Linked DNA regions of Oryctolagus cuniculus. The protein of the gene in region 5 purifies or fractionates together with the protein of the main gene of each other region. This does not show direct contact. Links are inferred from orthologs where the notes say so. Each region holds a gene or a part of one and is shown on either strand. Other genes may lie near its edges. The genes, in order: EPC2, ASH1L, RBBP7, PHF12, MORF4L2, histone H2B type 2-E and SIN3B.

Region 1 (3,942 bases), on a different chromosome or scaffold from region 5:
TCGCAACACAGCGGAACACACACACACATCTGCCGCTTCGGAAACGTGTGCTGCCTTGGTCAAACGTCCTAAGTTGAACTTTGACGACCCCTGCTATTTTTGAAATCGGAGAAATATCTATCATCCACTAAATAACTCAAGTTTGAGGGACAGGTTCAAGTTCACTTGTTGCATTCGGCAAGCCTCCATCCAGCGCCCTCACGGCTGCCATGAGCATCCTGCCCGAGCAGGCGAGGACGAGAGAGGATGCCATACCTTGGAGAGCTCTTCCGGACAGGTACTGGAGGGCGGATGCGGAGAACAGGGGCTGGGGCGCCTAAGCACCCTCAGAGCCGGCGAGACGGTGCAGAGCTGCGCCCCTCAGAGCGGGCCGAGGGGACCGCCGACCTTTCGCACCTCCCAGAGATGCCCGGAGCGCTAAGCATAGGCTCCGGCGGTGGCTGCTGGGGCCCTGGTCGACATCTATTCCCGCTCACAGAGTTCTGCACACGGGCGCTGCTGGGCGCGGCCGCCTTTTGCCCGGCGCCTTCCTCAGGGGCACTCAGCGAGCCCGCTGACGCCGCCGCGGAAGGCAGAGGCACACGCTTTGGGGCGCGGGTGAACTCGCGCACCTGGCACCTGCCACACCGCGGGAGCGCCGGCCAGTGAGCCGAAGGCGCTGCCGCCGCCGCCGCTTGCCGCCCCCTCTCCCTGGAGCGGCCCGAGGCCGAGCACGTTCCCGTGGGCCGGCGGCGCGGCGGAGAGAGTGGGTGGGCAGGCGAGGGAGGGGAAGGGAGAGGAAGGAGGGAGGGAGGGAGGGAGAGGGCGAGGCGCGTCCCCGCGGCGGGGGCGCGCTCTCGCGCGGGCTGCCGGGATCGCTCGCCGCCGCTGTGGTAATGTCCGCCATGTTGGCCATGGCGCAGGGAGCGGATCGGGCGGGCGAGCGGCGGATCTAGTGTGTGGAAGCGGCCGCGGGCGGCGGGGGGCTGTTTTCGGGCGGGGTGGGCGCCCATGCTGTGGCCGGGGGCAGTGAGGAGGAGGAGGAGGAGCGGGCCGGCCGCGCTGCACTGAGGAAGGAGGTGGAGGAGGCGGCGGGAGTCCTCCCCCCCTCCCCGCCCGCCCCGCCGCCGCCGCCCGGGCTGTTCCTGTAAGGCGGGGAGACAATGAGTAAACTCTCCTTCCGAGCGCGGGCGCTGGACGCCGCCAAACCGCTGCCTATCTACCGCGGCAAGGACATGCCTGATCTCAACGACTGCGTCTCCATCAACCGGGCCGTGCCCCAGATGCCCACCGGGATGGAGAAGGAGGAGGAATCGGTAGGGACTCGAGTGTTTATTACCCCCCCTCTCCCTCCTCCCCCCTCCCCTTTGTCAGTCGGGCCTCGCCATTCACAGAGCGCTTTACGCTCGCTGGAGGGCGCCGCTGTCGCTCCAACGCATGGGACCCTACGCTGGCGGAGTAGCGTAAACCCTCTCGGCCGGCGCAGCGCCCGCCCGCGGCCGCCATGTTGTTGCGTCCCAGTGTTGTGATTAGCTCGCAGCGCCGCTTACGCTGCCGTAAGGGGGCCTTGCCGTAAGCGGCGGCCGGGAATGGCGCAGGGGCTGCGCTGGGCGCACTTGGCGTACGGCCTCTGTTTACCTTTCAAAAAAAAAAAAAAAAAAAAGTGTCCGCTGGCACGGGGTTAGTTAATAGCGAGGGTGTCTTTGGCTGGTACAGATTATGCGTGTGCGTGTCTGTGTATAGTTCCTTCTAGTTTTAAGTTTGGTTTAGCATTGAGTGCTGTTTGAAATGACTTACGGAAAGTAAAGCGCTTTCAAAACAAACATCTTCCCCCTCCTAGGAAGGGAATGTCGCTGCCCCTACCAGGGCTGCTGCAGCGAGTGCGGCCCTGCGGAGGGGAAAGGGCCGAGGCCTCGACTCCCGAGCGGGACGCCGGGTTAGCCAGCTGGAGCCGGACGCGGGGTGCGGGGCGCGGGGCGCGGGGCGGGCGGGCTCTGCCGGCGTCGCCGGTGCGGCCTCCGCTCACTGCGCCGCGTTCGAGAGGAACCGGGGATGCTCGAAACGAGCCGCCGGCGCGGCGCTGTCCCGGCGCTGTGACCCCGCGACATGGCCTTGGTTGGAGGAGGGTGGTCCTTTTGGAAGTAGAGGATTTACTGCATATAAGTTGACAGCTGTGTTTTTGATTATATGCCTTGTAGCATAAAAGCTGTTTCCCCCACCTCTGGGTTAAATTTTGCATAAGGTTGAATTTTGCTCTGGGTTGACAGTGTTTATGACTCTGGAGTGGTGTTCCTTGCATGCGAAGTTCATAGTAACTGCACCTTCAAGAATTTCTTCAATGAACCCACGGTCCCGCCTTATTGTCAACCTCGGGTCTGTGTGGATTGGTTCTCTTGCCTCTGTGACTGTCAAAAGAAAGCTCTAGGTTTCCGTGATTGGTTTTCTCTTTTGACTGTTAAGATTGCAGGAAATGCTTTTATGCCTTTGATTGGCTGCTTGAGTTCTGACCTCATTACGTTACCCTGCTATTACTACTTTCCTCTGTGATTTTAATCACATTTCTCCTTGGTGTTTGATCACCTGGAAGTCTTACATTTTCAGCAGAAAATGAATATAGCTGTGACATCAGGATGCACGATCAGTTTTTAAAATTAAAAAGTAAATAGGATAAAAGCCCAAAATTTAAGCCTAAGGTTTAGAGCTGAATGAGAGAATTTTGTTTTTTTAAAATAAAATTTGGTCCTAACTAAGCTCAGTTTTTCATGGGAAAGATAATTGAAATAAGAGGATAATACGTATTAGAATTAATTGATGAACTTTAAAAAAACTGGGGCCGGCGCTGTGGCACAACGGGTTAACGCCCTGGCCTAAAGCGCCAGCATCCCATATGGGCGCCGGTTCTAGTCCCGGCTGCTCCTCTTCCCATCTAGCTCTCTGCTGTGGCCTGGGAAAGCAGTGGAGGATGGCCCAAGTGCTTGGGCCCCTGCACCCACACAGGAGACCCGGAAGAAGCTCCTGGCTTCTGGCTTCTTCTGATCCGCGCTGCTGCGGCAGTTGCGGCCAGTGGGGGAGTGAACCAGTGGATGGAAGACCTCTCTCTCCTCTCTATTCTCTCCTCCTCTCTCTCTCTCTCTCTCTCTCTCTCTCTCTCTCTGCCTCTCCTCTCTCTGTGTAACTCTTTCAAATAAATAAATAAGTCTTTAAAAAACAGAAACAAAATTTGGAAGTTTTTGTTGGTTTTCAGGCTTAAAAGAACCAGTAGTGGGGCCAGCGCTGTGGTGTAGCGGGTAAAGCCAGCTCTCTGCTATGGCCTGGGAAAGCAGTGGAGGATGCCCTGCACCCGTGTGGGAGCCCGGAAGAAGCTTCTGGTTCCTCGTTTCGGGTCTGAGTCTCCTGTTGTGGCTGTCAGGGAAGTGAACCAGCAGATGGAAGAGCTGCCTCTGTCTCTCTGTCTCCCTCCCTCTCTCCCCCTCCCCCTCTTCTCTGCCTCCCCCTCTCCCTCTCTCCCCTCTTTGCTTCTGCCTCTCTGTAACTCTACCTTTCAAATAAATAAATCTTAAAAAAAAAAAAAAAGAACTACTAGGGTACAAAATTACTTGGATCCTATTATTTTAGAACCTGAGTCAGAAAACCTGTTCTAGAATGAACAGTTAATCCCTGGAAGGTACATTACTTTTTGCAGTCAGCTCCTACTTGGTCTTAAGCTTGTCACATATGTTTTATTATTTTAATTTAGGAGAAAACTTGCAGATTTTTAAAATGTTCTTTTAAAAATAAGCACTTAACAAGCCCTGTCACAGTTTGGTCATTAACTTTTTTCAATAAAACTTGGTTTTCAATCCAGAGCATTAGTGCTTGTATTCTTTTTAGAAGTCTGCTTTAACTGCTCAGTTTTAAGGAAGAAGAAATCCAGATTTGGATAGAACCTGAGTTGATACTGAGGACTTTTCTCGGTCCTATTCT
Region 2 (3,500 bases), on a different chromosome or scaffold from region 5:
GGTGGCTTCATCTTGACTGGTGATCTCATTTGCCTCTTAGGCCTGCCTCTCTTTTTTGGAAAAGGAGACACAGACAAACTTTGTTTGAAGGAAGGAATTTCAATTTCTGGCTGTAAAATTGGGGGTTCTTGTTCTTCTTTAGACTGCAGAGAAAATACTTTAGAGGCAGGGATTTTTAAAGTCCTTTTAGGTGGACCTTCTAGTTGAGGCATCTCTTTTGATTTAGGTCTTCCTCTTTTGGGCTTGTAAATATCCGACAAAAGGTCACTAGAGACACACATACTAGAGGATAGTTTATGAGTAGCAAAAGACTTATGAGACGGTTTTTCACCATCAGTTAAGAGAGCAAGAGATGGAGATGTGGATTTGCTCAACTTTGGCAATCGGCGTTTAAGGAAGTCATGATCTACAAACGAAGTTGATCCAATGTTTTTCATAAACTTGGCTGACTCGGAACTACTATTTGATAGTGAGCCACAGGAAACATTTTTAAAAAGCTCTGACCTTTCTAATTCTAGCCCTTTTGGAGACCGGCATGTGCTTCTTGCTACCACTTTAGTCCACCGAGGCTTTCTTCCTTTTCTTTTTTTTAATGGTTTGGACTGCAAACTAGTGCTTAGACTTTCAGCAACTTGGCAGTGTTTGTCTGGTGCACTTACCGCACCAAGTTTTAGAAAAGGTTTGTTACTAAATAAACTAGTGAAGTTAACAACTGAGGGAGTAATTGTATGAATACTGGATTCAGAAGTGAAATTTGGCTTTTTTCCCAGGGAAGAGCTTATTCTTGGAATATCTATATGGGTAGTTTTTGAATCATTTAGTTCTTTATCAATCCCTTTACACTCAATACTTATGCTATGACCCATGGACCTATGACCAACATTCAAATGGGTACTTTCAGAATTAAACTGATTCTTTCCAACAGACTCAGAAATTTCTTCCATTAGTTCTGTGGTAGGACTAAGAAGTAACGGATTAGGAGCCAACGGTGAAGAAGTTTCAGGTGGACTTCTAGTTAAAGGATTAACAGATACAGTAGGTGATGGGGAAGGGAGATTGCTTTCTCCTACTGCACTAAAAGGGGATTTAGCTGTAGATGCATCAGAACCACCTCCCATCTGAAAGTCTGGAGAAGTGCAATATACAGGAGGTTGCTTTTCATGCTTTGAGGTTTCATAAGATCCCCTTTCACTGGATGAGAAACTGTCTTGCTGAATGCATGATCCTTCATTAAATATTTCTTTCTCCAAATTAATGATTTCTTTTCGAGCTGAGAACTTTTCTAGTGCACTTTCTTTGTTCTGCCGAATGACATTCTTCTCAAAAGTTCTGCTGGTGGCACTGTCTTTCAGGGATTCAGAAAGTTCTTCACTTTCGTGGTTACTGATGTTTGCACTACAAGAAGCCTTAAGTGGATCCTGAGTAGGGAGCAGTGCTTCCGCTTTAAGGTTTATGGCATCTTTACTGACCAGTCCTGCCACAGGACAGGTCACTAGTTTCTTTCCAATGTCTTTATTAACCAATCCCATTGCTGAACTTGCTACAATCTTCTTTGCACAGTCCTTGGCCACTAGGCCAACAGTAGAACTCAATTTCCTTCCCAAGTCTTTATTAACCAGTCCAACCACAGTGCCAAGTCCTAACTTCTTGCCAGACTCCTTATTCATTAAACCCGGAACAATACCAATTCCTAGCTTCTTTCCTGAATCCTTGCTCAGCAGTCCAACTGTAGTGATAGTCCCTGGCTTTTTGCCCAAGTCTTTATTAATGAATACGGCTGTAGTGCCAGTTCCCAGTTTTTTCACAGAGTCTTTATTGACCAGTCCTACTGCTGGGTTAAACATTGGCTTTTTCCCAGCATCTTTAGTTACCAATCCAACTGCTGTGCTAATAGTTGGTTTTTTTATTAAATCCTTATGTATTATTCCAGCCACAGAGCCAATGCCTGCTTTCCTGATCAAATCCTTGCTAACCAATCCTGCTGTAGTGCCTGTTCCTAACTTCTTCGGTTTTGTCTTGGAAGACTTGGAGGGAGGACAAGTAGCAATGAGCTGTGCCAACTTTTCTGTTACGCTAGTTCCTCCATTAAGTAATGCTCTGTCCTTTAAATCAGGATCCCGACTACCAACAAGAGTAGATGGTGATGCATTAACAAAATCTGCCATTTCTGAGTGTACTGGAGAAAGCTTCTTGGACAAAGGAGTGCTTTCTCCCTGTGAATGAAGATGGATGCTTTCTTCAGATTGGCATTCAATGGCTGCAACATCACCTGCTTTCTTGTACAACTTGGAAGGGTCCTAAAATTTGAACAAGAAAAAGGTTTCAGAGAGTAAACCTGATACCACTTTGCTTTAGCTTTACATTCCAACAAACTCAACACATCAGATATAAGATTTACAACAGAACTTTAAAAAGAACTAATGTGACTCTAATGGCCTGGGATATTAGTTCATCTGCTGCTATCACAGAGGCTATCAAGATACTGTCTTTGTTGATTTTCAACCATATTTATTACTGGATCTTTAGAAATGCCCCAAGGTTGGCACTGTGGCTCACTTGGCTAATCCTCCGCCTGCGGCACTGGCACCCCAAGTTCTAGTCCCAGTCGGGGCGCCGGATTCTGTCCCGGTTGCTCCTCTTCCAGTCCAGCTCTCTGCTGTGGTCCGGGAAGGCAGTGGAGGATGGCCCAAGTGCTTGGGCCCTGCACCCACATGGGAGACCAGGAGGAAGCACCTGGTTCCTGGCTTTGGATTGGAGCAGCACGCCGGCCATAGTGGCCATTTGGGGGGTGAACCAACAGAAAAAAGGAAGACCTTTCTCTCTGTCTCTCTCTCTCTCACTGTCCACTCTGCCTGGCGAAAAAAAAAAAAAAAAGCCCCTAAGATATATTTAAATGTGAAGTTATAGTTTATCACTTTCATCTTTCTTTTCACTAACTAAAACAAATATTTTTGGCTATAGTAACCCATGATCCCCTTTTAAAATAAATAGCTTAATGCCTATCTGCCTCACTGACTTCAATAAAATCTAACCAAATATGGGACAATCTCTGACCTACTTCTATTTCTTTAACTCACTATATAGTCTTAAGTGAGTAGTCAAATTCCCTTAAAGAACTTGAAAGAGCAGTCATTTCTTAAAATGTATGAGGATAGAAAAGATAATTGAAAAGTTTTTTAAAAAGATTTATTTATTTATTTTGAAAGCCAGAATTAGATAGACAAGAGAGAGGGATCTTCCATCTACTGGTTCACTCCCCAGATGGCTGCAACAGCCAGGGCTGGTCTAGGCTGAAGCCAAGAGTCTGGAACACTATATGTCTCCCCCATGGGTAGCAGATCATTTGAACCACCTTCCACTGCTTTTCCCAGGCACATTAGCAGATAGCTGGATCAGCAGTGGAGCAGCTGGCACATCAAAGGCACTGCTTTACCTGCTAAGCCATAGCACCGAATCCAACAATTTAAAATTAATACTGGAGTTGGTGTTGTGACAGAGTA
Region 3 (4,235 bases), about 87 Mb from region 5:
CCAACAAGAAACTACCATTTGTAGGGAAGTCAATGTTAGTATTATGGAGAATCTGGCCTAAGAGTAATTTCATATAAATTAGCTTATGCTTATAAATCACAAAATCCTCTTCCTGGATTAGAGTTTGATTTAATCCTCAAGTATAAGCTCATTGGGGGTCAGCACTGTGGCACAGCAGGTAAAGCCGCTGTCAGCAGTGCCGGCATCCCATATGGGCACCAGTTCAAGTCCCAGCTGCTCCACTTCCGATCCAACTTTCTGCTATGGCCTGGAAAAGCAGTGGAAGATGGCCCAGGAGCTTGGGCCCCTGCACCCACGTTGGAGACCTGGCAGAAGCTCCTGGCTTTGGCCTGGCCCAGCCCCAGTCATTGTAGCCATTTGGGGAGTGAACCAACGGATAGACGACCTCTCTCTCTGCCTCTCTGTAACTATCTTTCTCACAATACCCACATGCAACACACTTTTAAAGTATGTGGTCAAATTCCTACTATGAAAATGCAAAGCTGTTATTATCTTGGCCATGGTACTTAACTTCTCAGGACATTTCCTCATTGGCAAATCAAGAATGATAACAAAAAAAGAGAGACATATCTTTAATCCACTGGTTCACTCCCCAAATGCCCACAACCCCCAGAGCTGGGCCAGGTGAGACCCAGGATCTAAGAACTCCATCTCAGTCTCCCACATGGGTGATAAGGACTCAAATACTTGCGCCACCATCTTGCAGCCTTCCCAGCTGCATTAGCAGGAATGCTAGCTCTGAAACAGAGTAGCCTAGGCTCAAAGTAGGCCCTCTGCCATAGAACAGAGGCATCCCAAGCAGCAGTGTAACCTGCTGCGCCGTAACTCCTGCCCCCAAACAACACAACACCTTTTCTGTGGAGAACTGTTGCAAAATTCTTTTTCCATTTGCCAATTAAAACTTACTCATCATGGGTGCTGATTACATGTGCATCCACTATGTGAAGATTCAAACCAAATGCTTAACTATCTGTACATCTCTAATGTATACTACTTGTCAATAATTTTAAAGAAATGTGTTAGTCTGCAGCCCAGAAAGATTGCAATCTACATTTAAGTCCAAACAGTGTAAAACATATTCACATCCAGTATTTTCTACAAATGTCATTAATCCCACAACATCGTCCCTCCTTTATACCATCACACTTACTTGCCAGAAATCATCCACTATGTCACTTAGGCTTTGAAAATAAAAACTACCTTCCACCTTTTCCAGGGGCTGATTACCTGCTTATGTTCAATGGAGGGTCTTAAAAAAATTCATAGAAAAACTATGTGTGGATTTCAAGATTTTCTGCACCAAAATAAACATCTTTTAATTTCATTTTCCCACAAACATTAAGTACAACTGGAGGCATAAAATACTCCAAAACTAGAAAATTCAGAATGATAAATTTACTCAAAAATAAAAGTAACCAGAAATCCTTACTTAGTCACTTCAGGAAGCCACTGAACCGTAAGACTGGGCCACTGAAGAGCATGGGTCATAACCAGGTCATATAAAAACGGTGTATTCTTCTTCCAGATTTTATACTCTTCGTTGATGACACGCTCCTCCACAGTATCTTCAAACACTGAAATTTGGAGAAAGTCCATACGATTAAGTGGTTGAGAGGGATCGAAGTCAACAATCTGTACACAGACATGGAGGTCACCTCGTGATTGCCACACCTAGTCTACTCTTTCCTTCTGCCTCTAATTTGGACACGAACAACTAACTGCTCTTCCAAAACGTGGTGAGAATATTACCACCGGGAAGCTCCTTTTTTTTTCCATTTTGAGATTGTCTTCTGCGTATACAGAATTGGCTAACTACACGGACACGAATTGTTTAGCCCGTTACAGCTATTCGCACCTGTTCCACAATGACGACCTGTATGTAGAGGGGCTCCACGACCCACCCAAGGAGACAAATCCACGTGTAGCAGAAACCCATCGGCCTGCTCCCTCCATCCCCCGCCACGAGAGGCCCCAGCTCCCACGACGCCGGCGATAGCAGCCATAGGCCGGCGGACTCCACAACCCCCCTCTCCCGGACAAGGGCCGCGACCCCGAGGCGGCGGACGTGCGCGCGCAGAAGCCGCCGTGCTCGCTTCAGAACAGCGGAGACCGCCTCCGCCCCGGGGCCGAGGGCGCCGGAGGGAGCGCAGCCGCGAGCGGGGAGGGGGGGAGCGGGAAGAAGGGGGGAGGGGGCCCACTCCTCGGCCCCGCGCCCGGCTCCGGAAGTATTCCTAGCCCTCCGCGCGGCGGTCCCATCCCGCTCAGGCCCCCGAAGGCGCGCGCCCGGCCCCGCCCCCTGCTCCTCACGCCAATTCGCGCCTTTCGCCGGCGCGTGCCGCGGCCTCGCGCGCCCGCCGCCCCCCGCCGCCACGGCGCGCGCCGCCCCGCAGGGCCTCTTACTCTCTTTACTCGCCATCTTGCGTCGGGTCGTTCGCCCCTCGAAGCCTCCTCGGACTCCCCTCGCTAGACAAACGCAGCCCGACCGCTGGCGCTCCTGCCTTTCCGCTGGCGCGTCACACAATCTTAGCTTTCAAAGCCTGAGCTCCGTCTCGCTGCCTGGGTTCTTCCCCAGACGCTGCGCCTTTCTCTTCTGCCTCTCCTCGCTCACGGATACCGAGGTCTGAGGCGCTCTTCTCTCTCTCTCCAAACTTGGAACGAGACTTTTCAACCCGCGCCTCACAGCCCGCCCAGGCAGCTGAGCGCAGGCGCAACCGCCCTGGGAAAAGTGAGAGGCGGTGGAGAGGCGGGCCTGGGAGCCAACGGCGCCGCTGTCTCGACCAATGACGTACGACGGGCGTGTTTCACGCGGCGTTCGGAGGCGGGCTTCTGGCGATGGGCGGGGCGTCCCACGGCAGGAAGTGGGAGCGGCGCAGGCGCGCGGACTCTCCTGGCGCTCCTAGGGACGGCCGCGGGGGCGGTGGGGTAGCGCGGGGGCGGGGCGAATGCAGGCGCGGCGTGCGGGCTGCGCGGGGGCCTAGAGCCCCGGGGCGGCGAACCCTGAGGCCCACGGGGCGTGGTTGCTTGAAGCAGCAGCGACTGTTGGGGTGGAGTGGGGGGCAGGGAGACTACCGCCGCTTAGCCAAGCAAAATCTCAGAGCAAGGGAGGAAAATGGTTCCTATTCTCGAGAGATTACTGTGCCCTCAAAGTCTCCCCAGTAATCACGGACATGGAATTTTCTGCACCCCAGAAAGGTTCCCATCCAGCTGACTGCCTTTCTTGGGGACCATTCAGGTCGAGGCAGGGTGTCTCGGAAGTGAAGGGGATCTTTTGGAGAGGCTGCGGGCGTTTTCTGCCTGCAGAAGCCGCCGGGCCACTGTTAGGTTAAACGTGAGGCCTGTGGTGGTTTAGGCCGCTAGGCCGCCTTAAATCACATTTGCGTTTGTTCGCGGGTCTAGGTCTTTAAGTTGGTTTGCTGCCTCTGTGCTATGGGGGATTTTGTTTTTCCATTGGCGTTTTTGTTAGTCCCAGCTCTGACCCCTGCTGAGTCATTCTTGTTCCCTGCAGGGGTCCCAGGGCGACCCCACCCCAAGCTAGGGAAGCTGGAATGAGCTGGGCTGGGCTGTTTACCTGCTCTGTCTGGGAACTCCGTGGTCCCTGAGGAGTGAGTGAAGGTGAGGAGAATGGGGGCTGTGAGGCCAAAAGGTGAACGAAGACAATGAACTTGAGGGCCTGGAGCGGAGGGCACGGAGTTGAGGGGGAGGCCACAGGGTGCCTACGTGCCCAGAGAACCGCAGTCCACAGCCAGCCTACAGCGAGGCTCCCCTTACAAAGAAGCACCCCCGGAACATTTGCTGCCTTGATAGCTTTCCAAGTGTTTTCATGCTCAAATGCAAGTGTGCAGTCGCGGCTATGGTACCTACTTCTCTGATCTGGTAACAAACCCAGACGTTCTGTGGCAGAGCCAGTCATATGCCCTTATATAGAAATTTACTGTTTCGTGTCTCTGGTTTCCCATACGATACAATTCGTTATCATAACGCCCTCCCTCCATGTCAGGTCCAGGAATCTTGTTAGTGCGGACTGGCTAGAGAGAGAAGAGGTTTGGAATGGTGTTTCAACATTCAGCCCTCATCTTCCAGAACACTGGTGAACTTTTTCTAAAAGGGACAGATAACAAATATTTTAGGCCCTGAGGGTAACTACAAGACTCCGCTGTGTTGTAACACAATAGCAGCCAGAGAATATGGACGAACCTGGCCATGTTCCAATAAAA
Region 4 (4,161 bases), on a different chromosome or scaffold from region 5:
TAAAGAGGAAAAAATCCCCCCCGCCAACAGGACTAAAAAAAGGCACCATGGAAAACCGGGTAGGAACACACAGCACAGCCCCCTTCTTCCCGCCAAACAGAACACGACCCAGTAGAACCAGACGCAATCTGGGCTGGATGCGCAGATGCGGGATTTTAGTGGAAGGCAGCGAGGTGACTTCTCTCAGGCAGAAGCTCTGATTTTCAAAACTCTTCTTTACCGGATTGTTCTGGGCTGAGCTGCTGAGGAGGATCAAGCAGCGGGCGATCAACCCAGGTCCCTCCTCCCTCACTCTCTTGGGTCTCTCCCCTCCCCTCGCGTTCAGTAAGGGCGGGGGGGGGGGGGAGGAGGAAGCGCACAGCTTTCCAGTTCTCAGCTCCTTAAAAATGCCTTTTTGGCTCCATCGCATACAAGGCTACCCCTGCAGCTAAGAATTTTGCGGCCAAGGGCTCCTCGATCCGGGAAGGAGAAGTGAAATCGCAGCCCAAGGGCAATTTTAATTGTCTAACCCGGCCCGATTTCCTAAGAGGCAGCAGCGGTGGGGAGGGGGGGCTGCGGCGGAGGGGGGAAGTAGCTCCAAGAGGCAACAGGGGGCAAACGGAGGCAGAGAAAGGGGACCAAAGCGGCGAGATCCCAGCCCCGGCCTTCGAGGAGCTTCTGCAGAAAGGACTCCGGAGTTGCCCCCACCGTTCTCCAAGAGACGTTTGCAAATCATATATGCAGCCAAAATGGCGCTGAGAATAAAAATATAATTTAAAGGCAGGTCGCCATATTGTAAACAGAGAGGCAAAGAAGAGGCCGACTCGAGCCACTCTCCGTTTCTTCCACAGCGGCAAACGCCGGGCAGCGGGGCCTGCACCAGAGCAGCGCGGGCGGCCAAGGGCTCCGCGCACCCACCCGGAGGAGAGCCCGGCCGGGCAGGAGCCCCGAGAGCGGCGGGCGCGCGGGCAGGCAAGCGGCTCTGGGCCCGGAGCTCCTCCCCTTCCTCCCCCGCCACCTCTGGCCGTGCCCGGCCGGCTCGGTCCCAGCTCCCCTGCGACTTCCAATCCCAGATGGGGCTCTCCTCATTCCTCCCAACCCCCACCTCGGGGTCCGGGCTCGACGCTGCTCCTCCCCGCCGCTCCCCCCCCCCCCCGCCCCGAAACGGCCAGATCCCGGCAGACACCTGGGGGCGGGGAGGCGCTCGCCCCAGCGGCTGCAGAGAGTCAGCTAGCGGCTGCAGGCGCCCGTTATTTCGGCAGGCAGGGGCAGGCCAGGTGAAGGAATGTGCGGAGAGCGGTCCGCCGAGGGGCTCGAGAGGAGGCCAGCCCTTACCAGCACTGGAGGTGGAAGGCGGCCGGGCAGTGGTCGCAACACAGGAGATCTCCACCTTCCTTGCAGCTATCGCAGCTGTCGTGGTTGGTGGCCCTGCCGCTTCTCCGCGGCTCCTTCTCAGGCTTCCGACTCCGCTTTTCCGCCTCGTCCGTCTTGGGGGGAGCCAGCAGAGCTTGGATTTGCTGCACACACATACAAACGGCGTGTGTGCACACTCGGAGCTCCCGGGCGGCCCGTCGACCCCCCGGCGCGGCTACTCCGTCACCCACCCCTCTCCCCCCTTTTGTCCTTCTTCCTCCCATCCAGGCTGCTCCCAGAACCGCTCAGCCCCCGGAACCAGGGGGAGCCCACCCCAACCGCGTTTCTGCAGCACAACAACGAGCGCAGCTTCTTCCAAATGGGGAGGATCAGGGTAGGGGGATGGGGAGAGGGTGCGCGGTTCCCTTCTCGCCACTTCCTTGTATGGACAGTGGGGGACTCCAAAGCCTGGCTCGGGAGAGGCCCGAAGCCCGGTACCCGGACGTGCGGGAGGAAGCACAAAGGGGCCGACAAGAAGGGGGTGGGGAGGCCCGCCGGTGCAACGCGATGGAGTGGGCTGGCGCCTCTGGAAAGCGAATCGAGGGCGGCGGGTAGGTGAAACTGCTGCAAACGTCCTCGGCGGCTGAGCTCAGCCCCCCGAATCGCCGAGATGGGAGGGAGAGGCTGAGCAGGGAAGAAACCCCCCTCCCCTGGCCCTCTGGCGCTCCGAGCTCAGGCCGGCTTTGTGGGGCGGAGGGCGGAGGTTCCCTCCCGGCGCTGGGGGAAGGGGATGAGGAGGGCCACTCTTACCTCCATCAGCCCCCCCGACGTGTCCAAGTCGTACACGATCGTCTTGGTCTCCATTTTCTCCCACATTCATCCACCTCCCGGGCTGGGCGCTCTCTGCTCCGGCCCCCCCAACCCCGGGGGGAGGGGGGAGGCGGGGGGAGGGGGTGCTCCTGACCCCGGCTCCCCTTCTTTTTTCCCAACACGGGTCCCGACTTCCTCGCCCTGGCTCCCCCCCACCCCCCGGCCCCCAGTCCCTGGGACGGCAGCGTCCTCCCCGCGGGCCGTGAGGGGGGAGCGGCCCCTCAGCCCCGGCCCGGCGGCTGGCTGCACAGTGGGTCCCGGCTCCGGGGGTCAGGCCTCGGCGGGGCCTAGTCCCACAGGCTAAAGCCGGCGCTGGCGACCGCTGGTCCGGCCGGGAAGGCTGGCGGGCGCTGCCATCCCGGGGTTAGGGGGATCGGAGGGGGGGGTGAGAGGTTAGGTGAGGTTGTGGTACGTGAGGTGACTGGGGGGGAGGGTGATGGGGGGTGGTCCCCGGGCTCCGCCTCTCGCCGCCGCCGCCGTCTGCGTCCCGGCTGCCGCGCACTTGGCGCAAACTTACCGCGAGCGCCCGCAAAGCCACCCGCGCAGGCGCCCGGGGATCGCCGCTCGCCGCGCGCAACCGCAGTGACAGCCGGCGGCCGGGCTCCCGCGCAGCCGCGGTGAGGGGGTACCCCCCAGCGCGCAGCCGCGCTGGCATTCGTCTGGAGCCCCGGAGCCCCGCCTTCCTGCCCTGCGCCAGCGTACTGAGATAAAAGGGCGGGACCCGAGGTCTCGCGCAGGCGCCTGAGGAAGCTCCTAGGGGTCACAGCGCAGCCGCAGGAACCCGAGGACTCTTCATCCATTGGTGTTTGTGTGCAGACCGAGAGGGCTCTGTTCCCGCGCAGGCGTGTTGGGGATGCTCCCCTCCCGCCCCATAACACAACCGCCTCCCGCGCAGGCGTATCGTCACCTGCAGGCCCTCAAAGAAAGCTGCTCCTTTCGCCATTTTAGTAATGGGATAAGGGCTGCCGTGTCCTTGTAGTCCTCAAGCATGAACAGGAAGGGGCAAGGAATGTTGGACAGAGCTGGTAGGCTGCTGGTGATGGCAGTATTCATAGAGGTGTTGGACTGGACAGTTGGTTCCAGCGTCAGGTGTGGCTGGACCAGGCCGCCATGTTGATAAAGAGAAAAGAAAAGCCAGTGCGACAGAAAGCGACGCTTTGGCTGGGTGGCTGCCGTCCCCACTTCCCTCCTGCTCCCGACAATTAAATTTAGAACGAGCATCCCTGCCTTGCGTGGTGATGGCACCATGGAGACTTCCGCCTGCCCGTTACCACCCTCTCTCGACCACCGTTCTGAGAACTGCTCAAGAGGCTTAGAGTTTGTAATCCCTGACAACGCCCAGCTACCGGCCCACAGAGGACTCCCACTCCCAGATTGCAATGCGCAGGGGGTCCAAAAGGGCGGACGGGAGCGCATGGCACCCTGGGAGCAAGCATCGCGATGGGTCTGATGGACTGTGGGAGTCGTAGTTCCGTGAGCTTGAAACGCACTATACTGTAGGAAGGAAGGAAAGGAGTAATTCGCTTGTCGGGAAGATGCTTTTGAGAATTTCCGTGCTGCATGCTGGGATTTGTAGTCTTAGGGCCTCACCTCGAATTCTGGGCGGGGATGCATGCTCTCTTCCAGGGCGCTCGCCCTTCCCCTTGCTATTGCCCGCAGAGGTGACCAGTTATTGCTGCCCAACGGTAGATGAAGCAGTGAAGAAGGGAACCGCATCGTTGTGCCTAAAAGTGGGCGTTTAAGTAGCATGATTGACAGCGGTGTCCTGCCCATGTCTAATGTTACGGCACACGCATTCTCAGAGTCATAAAACTGAGAGGGGCCGAGAGACCATCTGATTTCATTCTCGTCTTTCCAGAGGCACAGAGAGGCCGCATAATGAATTTATGGCAGACGTGGGAATGAAACTTTTTTTTCAATTGCTTCTCTCCCCCCTCCCCCTTTCTCTCTCTCTCTCTG
Region 5 (4,275 bases):
CATTTCAGTAAGAGTAACTCCACTTTCACCTTATATATTCACATCACCATAATATTTTATTTGGGGTAGGGAGGGGGAGCAAGGGAAGAGCTTATTGCTGCTTTAAAAAAATTTGAGAAATGAAACTACCATCAGGGCTGGCATTATGGTGCAGCAGGTAAAGCCACCATCTACAGTGCTGGCATCTCATATGAGTACTGGTTCAAGTCCTGGCTGCTCCACTTCCAATCCAGCTCCCTGCTAATGCACACAGGAGGGCAACAGAGGATGTCCCAAGACTTTGGGCCCCTGTACCCATGTGGGAGGCCTGAAGGAAGCTCCTGGCTCCTGGCTTCAGCCTGGCTCAGCACTGACAGTGGCAGCCATCTAGGGAGTGAACCAGCAGATGCAAGATCTCTCTCTGCCTCTCCCTCTCTGTCTGTAAGCCCTTCTGCCTTTCAAATAAATAAATAAATCTTTAACAACAACAACAACAACAACAAAACTCTATACCATCTGTAACTGTCACAGGTAAGCCATTTAACCAGTCAAGGGATGTTACAAGTGTATTATTCGGCTAGTATTCTAAGAGGACCTTGCTGTTTGAGAACAGACTAAACTGAAGGACAGCCATGACAAAGGAATATAATAATTGGATATCATGTCTAGGTCTAAGACCCTCTTCAAATTATCAACCTACAGAAACACGAAATACTTGTCACCCTACCTCTCCTTACACTTACTATCAATGCCTGGCTGAGGCCTCTAGGCTTATCAGTTCTCAGTTTAATGCTAAAGACAGTCCTGACCATCAAAGGACAAGAATGCTTGGGACCACTGGTCACAGCAACACATTTGGTATCTTGACTGCATTTAACTTTCAACACTAATTCTTCTATATAGAAATAAAGAGGTGGCCCTTTGGCTGGTGCCGTGGCTCAACAGGCTAATTCTCCGCCTAGCGGCACCGGCACACCAGGTTCTAGTCCCGGTCGGGGCGCTGGATTCTGTCCCGGTTGCCCCTCTTCCAGGTCAGCTCTCTGCTATTGCCCGGGAGCGCAGTGGAGGATGGCCCAAGTGCTTGGGCCCTGCACCCCATGGGAGACCAGGAGAAGCACCTGGCTCCTGCCTTCGGATCAGTGTGCTGCGCCAGCCGCAGCACGCTGGCCGTGGCAGCCACTGGAGGGTCAACCAACAGCAAAGGAAGACCTTTCTCTCTGTCTCTCTCTCTCTCCACTCTGCTTGTCAAAAAAAAAAAAAAAAAAAAGGTGGTCCTTTTAGAAACCTAATGAATCATGGGATTTCCCATAAGGTAAGTGGGTCAGCAGGTCACAATGTCCCAGAATTCCAGAACCTGGCATAACAGAGCTGGGAGGGCCTTCCCAGATCATTTCAGTCTTGTCGCTTCATCAGACAACATGGGGTATTGAGGGTCCGAATGGGCAAAGCCCAGACCCTACTTGTAACCTCCTTTTTCCATTAACTCATTTGTAGCTGTGAAAGGAAAAATAGAATAGAAAGGGCAAGACTAGAGAGACTAGAGTATTATCACTTATTAGCTCCAGAGGCTCACTTCTTCGACTTCCTGAACTGAGACTCAAGGCTAAAGGTAATCTTCATCAGAGGAAACTGTTCCTATAATGACTATTCAGTCCTGAACCTCTTCCTTGTCTGTCTTTTGACTGATACCCAGGTTCAATTATCATAGTCCCCATAGGAAGGGGATAGCCAAATCTTGGCAGCAGGATCATATTACAAAAATAAAATGGTCATGCCAAGCTCCACATCCTATAAATTTAGGGTTTCCTCCACTAGAGTTTCTTTGTGAATTCCTTAGACTTATACTTCCTTTAGCCCTAGCTGGTATCATCATTTCATTGACCTAAGCTGCAGGTTGGTTCTTTCAGAAAGAAGAAAATGCGGTTTCTCATTAATTATCATTTTTTCTATATTTATAATTAATTATATCTTATAATTATAATCCACTATTCTAATGAAATGTACTACACTGATTTTGGAGTTCAACCTTTCCTATCCTATTTCATTAAGATTTCAAATTCCAGGTATATAACCCTCTTCATCCAGGGCCCTCAAGAGACAAGAACAACAGATTATGGAAATGAATCCATTATCTTCTTTCTGCTACTTATGTAACCTCTCTAATATCTTAGTGGTGGATTCATGTTTAGGGTAAATGATTAAAGAGAGAGAGGAAAGGTAAAAACAAATTGCTATAGCTTTAAGATGTCACTGATTCCATCCGGATGGTATTCCTCAAGCAAGAAATATCCAGTGAGGACTGCAGCTACAAAATTGTCTCCATTTCCTCCCTTTGTCTTTCTGTGGGGTACGGGTGGGTGCACACTGCCTCTATGACATCTTCCAACCAAATGAACAATTTTACATGTGGACATAAGCACATTTGGCCATAATGTCAAAATTCTGGTTTGAAGAACCAATAAGCAAATTTCTTCTGTTTTTAGAGGAGGGGTTGGGGAGGGGAAGAATCAGGAAGGGAGAGTACATGAGTCCACAAGATAATGAGAAGGCTAGGGTTTGGGGAAAGCTAAGGTTAGAACTATCTGGGTTTTGCTTGATTATTCATTTTGCTTTGTGTTTTCAGAAGTCAGTGTTCTCTCATGAGTTCTTCCTCTCAAAATTGAAAACTTTTAATGTTTTCCCTTCGCATATAGGTGGAGGACCAGTCCTTGAGACCAGCTTTCACCTGCAGGTGCGTCATCTCCCTTGGATTCATTCACAAATTATGGTGGAGTAGCTACCACAATAGGAACTGTGCTAAACACACAGTATACACAGTTAAGAAGAAACTTAGCACTTAGCCTCATAGATCTTGTATTCTAGCAGGGAAGACAGACTTGGACTAAGTTCCTGGATGATAGTGAGATGGAGAAAACGGGGTGGGGGGGTGTTGTGGAAATACGTAAGAGGGACACTGACCTACTCGTGGCCCAAGTTGGGGAGGGAATGTCTAGAAAGGCTTCCCTGAGGCAGACACATTTCAGATGTGACCTGAAAGAAAAGGAAGAAGCAAAGCAGCAGGAAGGACCAAGGAGACAAAGGAGAAGGAAAGTGCGAAGTGTAACAGAGCTTTGAAGAGGGAAGTGGTATAAAAGATTCTCATCTGAAAAAAAAAATCTGACCGCAGTGTGGAGAACAGATTGTAGGGAAACCACAGTAGGTCAGCAGGTGAAAACAGTGGTGTCTTGCAAGGAGGCGTGTCACAGGTGCTGAGGGAACAGAAAGCAAAAGCACTTAACTAGAGGCTGGGCATCAGGGAAGGGCTCCGTAAGGAAGTAACATTCCAAGTGAGACTTGCAGGCTGGGTTCGCCATGGTGAGGGAAGTGAGGGAGTGAGGAGTGAAGAGAGGCCCGGACACTAACCTTCTCCTTTAACCAAAGCAGGTCTCATTTTCACTAAGGACCTCGTCCTGGTCTGGAATGCCTGGTACCTTTTCTTCCTAGCCAAACAGTGCCTATGTTTCTACAGCCCTCCCCAGTGCCAGGTCCACTGATGACACCCCAATACGACTTACTGTTCCTGCTTATAAATTTCTATTCCATACGTATTGCTAAGCATTAAAGATCTACTATTCAGGGTAGTTACTTAACTTCACACAGATTCACATGTAAGCTACTTGGATTTGCAAACTCTTTTCTATTACTTTAGCATCATCCAGGGTATCTAGCACAATGAGGGACTGTGTGACACAGTCATTGAATGAATGAATGAATGAATGAGGCACTAGAGTCTCTGCAGACCTCCTTTAGATATTCACTATTATCCGTGAAGCTAATAGGAAAGGGATGTACTTTGTGTAAAAGATTCCTACAACTTGCATGCGAAGACCTGAGATCTGAAATTGACTATTCCTTCCCACTGGTCACTGCTTCTCACCCCCTTGCAATCCTGGTCCCCACCCCGCCCCCCCAACCTTCTATTGTTTCTTCTGTCTTCTGGTTGTCAGCCAGGATGAGAAAATGGTCAAGCTGTCCTCAGAGACTTACGCCAGCCTGGGCTGCTCTGCAGTGCCATGAAGGGCCAGGACTTTTGTTTACAGCTGGGAGCATGGCGAGGCGGTGAGCACAGCTGACAGCCCCACTCTGGGGCAAACATCAATCTTCCTCTGTCCTCTCAGCCAAGTCTCACAGACCAGCTTTATTGAAAGCTGGCTGCACCCGCCTGGGCTCACTGATGTCCCACCCACAACTCGAGCCTGGGAGTAGCTGGGTGAATCTCAGCTTTGTACCTTTTAGGAACTGCCCTTGCTCTCCTCT
Region 6 (3,990 bases), on a different chromosome or scaffold from region 5:
CACAGCTATTTCCCCCCTAATCCAGGGAGGAGTCCAGGTTCTCAGAGAGCAGCCCTGCTTTCTTACATCCTTTTAGCACTAAACAAGGAGCTTTTTCTCTGGTGAGTTTCTGAGGAAAGGCCGCTCTGTGGCTCAGTTTCCCTCCCTGTCCAGTGGGAGATGACAAGTCTACCTACTTTAGGAGGCTCTTGTGAGAATGAGAGAATGTTGTGCATGAATCGGGAACACATGTTAAGTGTCTGTCGGTGTTAGCCCACCTTGGTTAAGGACTGTATGTCTTCCACGTTGTTTGTAGTGCTTCTTCTTCATGCTCACGTATTTTGCAAGGACTGCGGAAAGCCTTGTGACAGCCTGGTTCAGCCCCATTGCCCATCTGGGGTAAAAGTTTAGCTGACGGCTTCTAAATATTCCTTCTCCACCCTTTCCACACATGTACCCAGTGGTGACTGTCCCTGTCAATTTCACTTCATATATGGCCGATAAAAGGATATAGCAAAGCCTTAAAATGAGTTGGGCACTTTATTAATAACAGCATCTACACAGATTTGAAAGCACACGCGCAGCAGGCTCAAGATCTCAGCCTATGATTTGCTATGTGGAGCACATCTGGGTTCACAAAACCCTTGCAATCAACTCCAGGAGCCCTGAGCAGAGTCCAGTTACTGAGCACTCAGGACCTCCCCTGGCACCATCAAGGCTCGGACAGGAAGATTCGGTATTGCGTAATTGCATCAGATACGACCAAAATACACCTGTGATCACATCGCAGAAGACAAAAGCAGCGCTCGCTGTGTGAGGGATATTGCAGCTCTGTCTGCTCTGCTTGTTAGGGCCTCCTGAAAAAGCAGCCGGGTTGGTGGGGATGAACTGAAAGCTCCTCCCAGTGTGAACAGAGGGTGAAGGCTCTTCTCGCTGACCACTGCTCTCAATTGAACGGAAACCTAAAACGGGTCACCCTAAAGCGGGGAGCCTGCGGGGAAGACCCGCTACTGCCGCCTCCTCCCGATGCAAAAAAAAAAAAAAATCTTGGCACCAGGCCTCCCCCCACCCCTCACCCGCCCCAAAGCAGTTGCACCGAGGTGATTAACGACATATTTGGTCAAGGAGCTACAAAAACATTTCCATCTTCATCGTATCTTCACATCTGATGGAAATAAACAGCGCCCACCCCCCACCCACGGAAGCGATTACGAAATTGGCGGGATAGAAAAACGAATCCGTCGATATCGGTTCAAGCCGTTTGTGTCCGCTACGTGCCAGGCACTGATGGGCGCTGAAGATACGGAGGAAAAGCAGGCCAGCAGGGCCTTTGTCCCGGTTTGAAGAAAGACCATTAACGAGAAAGCAAATGAGCCAGCGAATTTCAGCCAGCTGCGTGGACGAAGATGAAAACACACAACAGACAGGGCCAAAGGGCAGGCTCCTGAGCGGATGCCGCTGGCAGCGGTTCTTAATCCCCGAGCTAAACCACCCGTGTCTTGCAGTGACCTGGGGCAGGCTTCCCAGCACAGAGCATTAAATGCAAAAATCATTTACGGACTTAAGGAATCCTAGGACTCTCCAAGCTACAACGTCAGAGGCGGAAAACAAAGTCTTTAAGAATTCTCGAGTGGCGCGAATTTTGAATATTCATGCCGCCCAATCAGGAAAAGTCTGACCCTCAGCGGCGCGGGCTCCGCCCCAGAGCACAGCACCGGTCACCCGCAGGCCCGCAGGCCCGCAGGCCGAGCCCTCCCCGCGCCGAGCTGGCCACCCCGCCGCTTCCGGTGCTAAGCTGCTGCTGTACACAGCGGCCGCCGGACGCGCCTACTTGTGTCCTGCAGTCTTCCTAAACCAATAGCTGCAATCAGCCACTCGAGTTTAAGACGGCCCAGCGTGTGTAACAAAGCCGCCCGGCCACTGCCGCAACGCAGAGGGGTAGGGGCGGGCCATCGCCGCTGTTAGGAGTGAAGACGCACTTGGCACTCAACGCAAGTCCAATCACGCGCCGGGAACCTCGGGGTCGGAACGTCTTAGAGAATGCCAAGTACTCCACCCCCACTACGTCTGGGCTGCAGTAACTTACTTGTGCGAAGGGACTAAGGGGGGACGTTATGTGAACACGGCTCTTTCCCGATCAGATGGGTGGCTCTGAAAAGAGCCTTTGTGGGTTAGCGGCACGGCAGGGCCTCACTTGGAGCTGGTGTACTTGGTGACAGCCTTGGTGCCCTCGGACACGGCGTGCTTGGCCAGCTCGCCGGGCAGAAGCAGGCGCACGGCCGTCTGGATCTCCCGGGACGTGATGGTCGAGCGCTTGTTGTAGTGCGCCAGGCGCGACGCCTCGCCGGCGATGCGCTCGAAGATGTCGTTGACGAACGAGTTCATGATGCCCATGGCCTTGGACGAGATGCCGGTGTCGGGGTGCACTTGCTTGAGCACCTTGTACACGTAGATGGAGTAGCTCTCCTTGCGGCTGCGCTTGCGCTTCTTGCCGTCTTTCTTCTGCGCCTTGGTGACAGCTTTCTTGGAGCCCTTCTTGGGCGCGGGCGCGGACTTGGCTGGCTCGGGCATGGTAAACACCACACCAACGCGATACAGCGGGGAAAAGGAATAAGAGGATGGGCGGGCCTGATCCTCTTATAACCATCTTATGCAAATTAGGAATCAAAATGGCTTTCGTTTCCATTGGTCCGTGCAGGAAAGTTGCGTTTTCGGTAAAAGCCTGCGTAATGACAACAGCTCGACTTTATTGGCTGTTTCTGAAGCCATATTAGGACCAATGAAAAGCTCGTTCCTGACCCCACCCCCAGGGAAGCTTATAAAGGCTTTCTTCGTGGGTTCCTTTCAATCTTGTTTTGTTGCGAGGTTCTGCGCCCTAGCTGGGTTTGGTTTCTTTTTCTTAACTATGTCTGGTCGTGGCAAGCAAGGAGGCAAGGCGCGCGCCAAGGCCAAGTCGCGGTCGTCGCGCGCCGGGCTGCAGTTCCCCGTGGGCCGGGTGCACCGGCTGCTGCGCAAGGGCAACTACGCCGAGCGCGTCGGCGCCGGCGCGCCCGTCTACATGGCGGCCGTGCTCGAGTACCTGACGGCCGAGATCCTGGAGCTGGCGGGCAACGCGGCGCGCGACAACAAGAAGACGCGCATCATCCCGCGCCACCTGCAGCTGGCCATCCGCAACGACGAGGAGCTCAACAAGCTGCTGGGCAAGGTGACGATCGCGCAGGGCGGCGTGCTGCCCAACATCCAGGCTGTGCTGCTGCCAAAGAAAACCGAAAGCCACAAAGCCAAAAGCAAATAAATTTGACGACCTGAACCAAAGACCAAAGGCTCTTTTTAGAGCCACCCAAGTTGTCAAAGAAAGAGCTAACGCGCTGCTTGTTATCAGCCCTCCGCTTGACACTGTGGTGGCTCTTAAAAGAGCCTTTTGGGTGGACGGGAGTGGTGTCACGCCTAATCAATCACTTGCTCTTGCCAGGCTTGTGGCTCTCCGTCTTCTTGGGCAGCAGCACGGCCTGGATGTTGGGCAGCACGCCGCCCTGCGCGATGGTGACACCCCCGAGTAACTTGTTGAGCTCCTCGTCATTTCTCACGGCCAGCTGCAGGTGGCGCGGGATGATGCGCGTCTTCTTGTTGTCGCGCGCCGCGTTGCCCGCCAGCTCCAGGATCTCGGCCGTCAGGTACTCGAGCACGGCCGCCAGGTACACCGGGGCGCCGGCGCCGACGCGCTCGGCGTAGTTGCCCTTGCGCAGCAGCCGGTGCACCCGGCCCACGGGGAACTGCAGCCCGGCGCGCGATGACCGCGACTTGGCCTTGGCGCGCGCCTTGCCGCCTTGCTTTCCGCGTCCAGACATGACGGCTAAAAACCTGATTTCAGCTTGTTTTTCTAGGAGAGGCTATGGAAAGGATAGGCAATTTGATGTAATTTATAAGAGCTACCGGGAGGGGTGAAGGGAGGCAGTTTTATTGGCCGAGAGCGGCAGCCAATAGGAAAGCGGCACTCGGCCTTTCGGTTTG
Region 7 (3,500 bases), on a different chromosome or scaffold from region 5:
TGGATCATTTCCAAAACCAACCAGGCCAGACCACACCAGCCGCAGCCAGACTGGACCACACCAAACCCGACAGCAGATACAACTAGACCAGCAAAGCACCCCAGTGGAAACGCTCGCCCAGAGGAGACGGGAGGGGGCAGGGAGCAGGACCCAGCACCGGCCCCTGCGGTGGCCACGCCCCGAACGCCCAGCTGGGAGTGTTTACGATGCTTTCCCCACTGTGATCTCCACGGACATGGCCGGGGCGCTGGGCCTGCGAGGCGGGGGCAGGGAGGCTGGGAGTGTCTTCCTCGGGACATCGGGCAGGCGCAAGCCACGCGGGGTTTGATGCACGCGGGCACCCATCAACTGCTGCTGCTACCATTATTACCGATCTCCAGGGCACAGACCGGGCCTCTCTCTGCCACCAGTTCAGGCTGACCGGGACCCGGGCTCTCCATCCGGGTCTCCTATGTGGAGAGCAGGGATCACCTGCTGCTGCCTGGGAGCCAGAGTTGGGACTCAAACCCGGGCACCCCCGTGGGCCGTTCATCTCCGGGAGGCCCGCGCTGCCTGTGCTCCTGGCCCGGGGCAGGCAGAGTCCCGGACTCTCCTGCTGTCACTCAGGACCCCAGCACTGGGGCGCACTGGCAGGGAGCCGGATGGGAAGCGGAGCAGCCGGGACTCGAACCGGTGCCTTTTTTTTTTTTTTTTTTTTTTTAGTATTAGGCAGGTATTTGTCACAGTGGATCAGGCGCCACATGGGACGTCCACAGTCCATGCCAGTCCCCGGGTTCAAGGCCCAGTTCCCGACTCCAGGCTCCTGCTTATGCACGTTCCGGAAGGCAGCGGTGTGGGGTCAAGGACTCGGGCCCCCGCCACCCACAGGGCAGACCTGGATGGAGCTGCAGCCTGGCCCGGCTCTGGCTGTCGCAGGCATTGGGGGAGCGACCCAGCGGACGGAAGACCTGCCTTTCCCTCTGCCTTGCAAGTAAACCTTATGAAAAGGGAGGAAACACGCCTCCTAGAATGCTCCTGCGGCCGTGTCGGGTTTTCCCCAGCTTCACAGTGAACAGCGGACTTGACAACCAGCAGAATGAAACCACAGGGGGCAGGAACTGGGCAGCGCCCGCGTCCGGGCGGGGCCTGCCTCCCGCAGCTGGCGCTCCCGTGAGCACAGCCCTCCCCAGCCAGCTTCCCGAAACCAGCGCGGACCACCGCCGCGCACATCCCCACCGCGGGTGGGGGCCACGCACGCAGGAACAGCGCAGGCCCCCACCCCACCCTGCCCGGCCACTGGGCCCGCTCGCCGCGGTGCATCCGCACAAAGAACCATCACTCCGCCCGGAGACCAAGTGAGGCACCCGCAGCCGCGACCACCACGCGGCTGAAACTCGAACGCCTGACGCACAGTGCCCCAGGGCCCGCGACTGCGCGGACAGCACACGTCCAGAGCAGGCAACACCAGGGACAGGAAGCCCGGGGCGCGGGGGGGCGGGGGGGAGTGGGGGGGCGGCTGCTGAGGGCGCGGGGTCTCCATGTCCGGGGGCGGGGGTGGGTGGGTGATGAGAACGTTCTGCAACCAGACGGGGGTGCTAGTTACACACTGCGCCAATGCAGGGTGAGCGCCCCCGCCCACGATGCTCCAGGCCGGAAGTGCGTGTGCGAGTGCACACTGAGGAGCTGTGGGCGCGGGCCCCGAATATAAACAGGAGACTCACCTTCTATCCATACCGCCTGCACCCGGGGCACTGTGCACCAAGCAGCCCCCCCAGCCCCGCAGCCCCCCAGTGCTCACAAAGTCCCGGATGCCCGGCCTGAACGCTGGGGACCTCCCGACTCTGCACGCTGCCGCCTCGGGGTGAGGCTTCGCGGCCAGCAGGGGGCGCTCACCTGCCGGGCGATGTTCTGCACCAGCTTGTCCATGGTGAAGCCGATGTAGGCGTGGATGGTGAACATCTCGCGCAGGGTGTCCTCGTACTGCGTGGGGTCGATGCTGCCCTCCAGCAGGCTGCGCACCATGTCCAGGAAGGCCGGGTAGTACTCCTCCAGCTCCACCTCACCTGCGGGCCGGGAACCCCGCATGCAGGCGGCCGCCACCTGCCTGGCCCCGGGCGACCCCGGTCCTCCAAGGGCCAGAGCGCGCCGCGGGGGCTGCCTGGGGGGTGCAGGGGCCCAGGCCCTCGGGCCACCCTCCTGCGCTTCCCCAGGCGCACCGGCAGGAGCTCCCGGCCGGCTGCTCCGCCCGCCCCGCCCGCGGCCCCCGGCTCACTGGGCTGCTTGAGCCGCAGCTCCATGGCGGGGTCGCTGCCCCTCTCGCGGCGGCCGTCGCACAGCAGCTTCTCCCGCTCCTTCTCGCGCCGGAACTCCAGCAGCTGCTTCTGCGCCTGGCGGTAGATGCGCAGCAGGCGCGCGCACAGCGTCTGGTGCAGCCGCAGGAAGAAGTACCAGTTGTTGTTGGCGAAGAGCAGGCTGTACACGTCGTCCAGCAGCGGCGCCACCGCCGCCGCCGCCGCCGCCCTCTCCTCCGCCGGCCCCGGCCCCGACCCCGACCCTGGCTTCCTGCGCTCGGCCGCATCCCCGGCCGCGCCCTGCCCAGCGCCCGGCGCCCCGTCGCGCTCCTCGTCGGCGGACTCCTCGTCGGCGCCCAGCTCGAGCTGCTGTGAGAAGAAGAGGCTGGGCAAGAAGTGGTGCAGCAGCTGGCGGATGGTGCCCTGGTCCTCCTTCTGGATGGCCGGCTGCCGCTGCACGTAGTAGCTGATGAGCGCCGCCGCGTCCTCCAGGATCTGCCGGTCCTCGTACACGAAGACCAGGTGCGGCTCGCTGGGCGGCGCGCTGCGGCCCTCAGAGTGCTGCTCCTGGTGCTGTGGCGACAGGGCACGGCCCGCGTGAGGCGCCTCCCCCGCCCCCAGCCCAGCTCAGCTGCACCGGAAGCCGCACCTCCTCCCTGCTCCCACCCCGCCCCCCCCCCCGCCCACTCTCGGGGTCCAGGTGGACTTGGCCACCAGGTGGCTTCCCCGCCGAGCACCCCCCAGACCTGGCCCAGGTCTCTGCGCACCCCGTGCGCCCTCTTGCCAGGTGCGGTGCCCAGGGCCTTTGCACGTGCCACCTGCCCTTGCTCCCTGGAAAGCCACACCCCGGGCGCGCTCCTCCCTGAATCCTCCCGACCCAGACGGCGCTACTTGCTGCTCCAGCCCCGCCCCCCTCCTGGCACCTGGAGGCTCTCCTGGGGGGCCCCAGCCCCCAGGTACCGGGCAGAGAGACACATAGGGCAGGGCCGGGTCTCCCTCTAGCTCTCGGCGGCCCGGCCAGCCTGGGCTTGCCGAGAGGAGCAGCCCCGGGCCCCCCTTTCACAGGGGCTGTTCCCGCTTCTGGGGCCCTGAGACCCTGGGGCCCAGCTCAGCCTCCTGACTGGGGCCCCGGGCACCTGCGACTGACCTGGGCAGGGAGCAACCTCCGTGCCTCAGTTCCCCCACCGCTAAAACCACAGAGGAAGGTTCCCGGGTGCGGGCAGAGGGGAC

The links.
Region 1: the proteins of MORF4L2 (region 5) and EPC2 purify together in Homo sapiens (affinity purification with mass spectrometry; 5 studies listed by BioGRID and IntAct, counting the BioPlex papers as one, with this or other methods). This does not show direct contact. The link is inferred for Oryctolagus cuniculus from reciprocal best matches to the Homo sapiens genes MORF4L2 and EPC2.
Region 2: the proteins of MORF4L2 (region 5) and ASH1L purify together in Homo sapiens (affinity purification with mass spectrometry; 5 studies listed by BioGRID and IntAct, counting the BioPlex papers as one, with this or other methods). This does not show direct contact. The link is inferred for Oryctolagus cuniculus from reciprocal best matches to the Homo sapiens genes MORF4L2 and ASH1L.
Region 3: the proteins of MORF4L2 (region 5) and RBBP7 purify together in Homo sapiens (affinity purification with mass spectrometry, with the first as the bait; 3 studies listed by BioGRID). This does not show direct contact. The link is inferred for Oryctolagus cuniculus from reciprocal best matches to the Homo sapiens genes MORF4L2 and RBBP7.
Region 4: the proteins of MORF4L2 (region 5) and PHF12 purify together in Homo sapiens (affinity purification with mass spectrometry; 9 studies listed by BioGRID and IntAct, counting the BioPlex papers as one, with this or other methods). This does not show direct contact. The link is inferred for Oryctolagus cuniculus from reciprocal best matches to the Homo sapiens genes MORF4L2 and PHF12.
Region 6: the proteins of MORF4L2 (region 5) and histone H2B type 2-E purify together in Homo sapiens (affinity purification with mass spectrometry, with the first as the bait; 3 studies listed by BioGRID). This does not show direct contact. The link is inferred for Oryctolagus cuniculus from reciprocal best matches to the Homo sapiens genes MORF4L2 and H2BC21.
Region 7: the proteins of MORF4L2 (region 5) and SIN3B purify together in Homo sapiens (affinity purification with mass spectrometry; 5 studies listed by BioGRID and IntAct, with this or other methods). This does not show direct contact. The link is inferred for Oryctolagus cuniculus from reciprocal best matches to the Homo sapiens genes MORF4L2 and SIN3B.

Annotation. Positions count from the first base shown.
Region 1 is NC_091434.1:93,573,965-93,577,906, reverse strand, and holds the start of EPC2 (enhancer of polycomb homolog 2), read left to right. Parts: upstream 1-1,142; coding exon 1,143-1,295; intron 1,296-3,942. UniProt on the Homo sapiens protein: May play a role in transcription or DNA repair.
Region 2 is NC_091438.1:43,090,552-43,094,051, reverse strand, and holds part of ASH1L (histone-lysine N-methyltransferase ASH1L), read right to left. Parts: intron 2,298-3,500; coding exon 1-2,297. UniProt on the Homo sapiens protein: Histone methyltransferase specifically trimethylating 'Lys-36' of histone H3 forming H3K36me3. Also monomethylates 'Lys-9' of histone H3 (H3K9me1) in vitro. The physiological significance of the H3K9me1 activity is unclear.
Region 3 is NC_091453.1:3,028,796-3,033,030, forward strand, and holds the start of RBBP7 (histone-binding protein RBBP7), read right to left. Parts: upstream 2,801-4,235; 5' UTR 2,438-2,800; coding exon 2,422-2,437; intron 1,596-2,421; coding exon 1,451-1,595; intron 1-1,450. UniProt on the Homo sapiens protein: Core histone-binding subunit that may target chromatin remodeling factors, histone acetyltransferases and histone deacetylases to their histone substrates in a manner that is regulated by nucleosomal DNA.
Region 4 is NC_091448.1:44,437,125-44,441,285, forward strand, and holds the start of PHF12 (PHD finger protein 12), read right to left. Parts: upstream 2,801-4,161; 5' UTR 2,209-2,800; coding exon 2,143-2,208; intron 1,497-2,142; coding exon 1,315-1,496; intron 1-1,314.
Region 5 is NC_091453.1:89,766,188-89,770,462, forward strand, and holds the start of MORF4L2 (mortality factor 4-like protein 2), read left to right. Parts: upstream 1-1,475; 5' UTR 1,476-1,588; intron 1,589-2,672; 5' UTR 2,673-2,710; intron 2,711-4,275. UniProt on the Homo sapiens protein: Component of the NuA4 histone acetyltransferase complex which is involved in transcriptional activation of select genes principally by acetylation of nucleosomal histone H4 and H2A.
Region 6 is NC_091438.1:48,064,846-48,068,835, reverse strand, and holds histone H2B type 2-E, read right to left. Parts: upstream 2,605-3,990; 5' UTR 2,551-2,604; coding exon 2,170-2,550; 3' UTR 501-2,169; downstream 1-500. Other genes in the region: histone H2A type 2-C, read left to right, coding at 2,885-3,274; histone H2A type 2-B, read right to left, coding at 3,435-3,827. UniProt on the Homo sapiens protein: Core component of nucleosome. Nucleosomes wrap and compact DNA into chromatin, limiting DNA accessibility to the cellular machineries which require DNA as a template.
Region 7 is NC_091447.1:65,116,988-65,120,487, reverse strand, and holds part of SIN3B (paired amphipathic helix protein Sin3b), read right to left. Parts: intron 2,844-3,500; coding exon 2,252-2,843; intron 2,043-2,251; coding exon 1,873-2,042; intron 1,556-1,872; coding exon of another isoform or gene 1,043-1,555; exon of another isoform or gene 279-1,042; intron 1-278.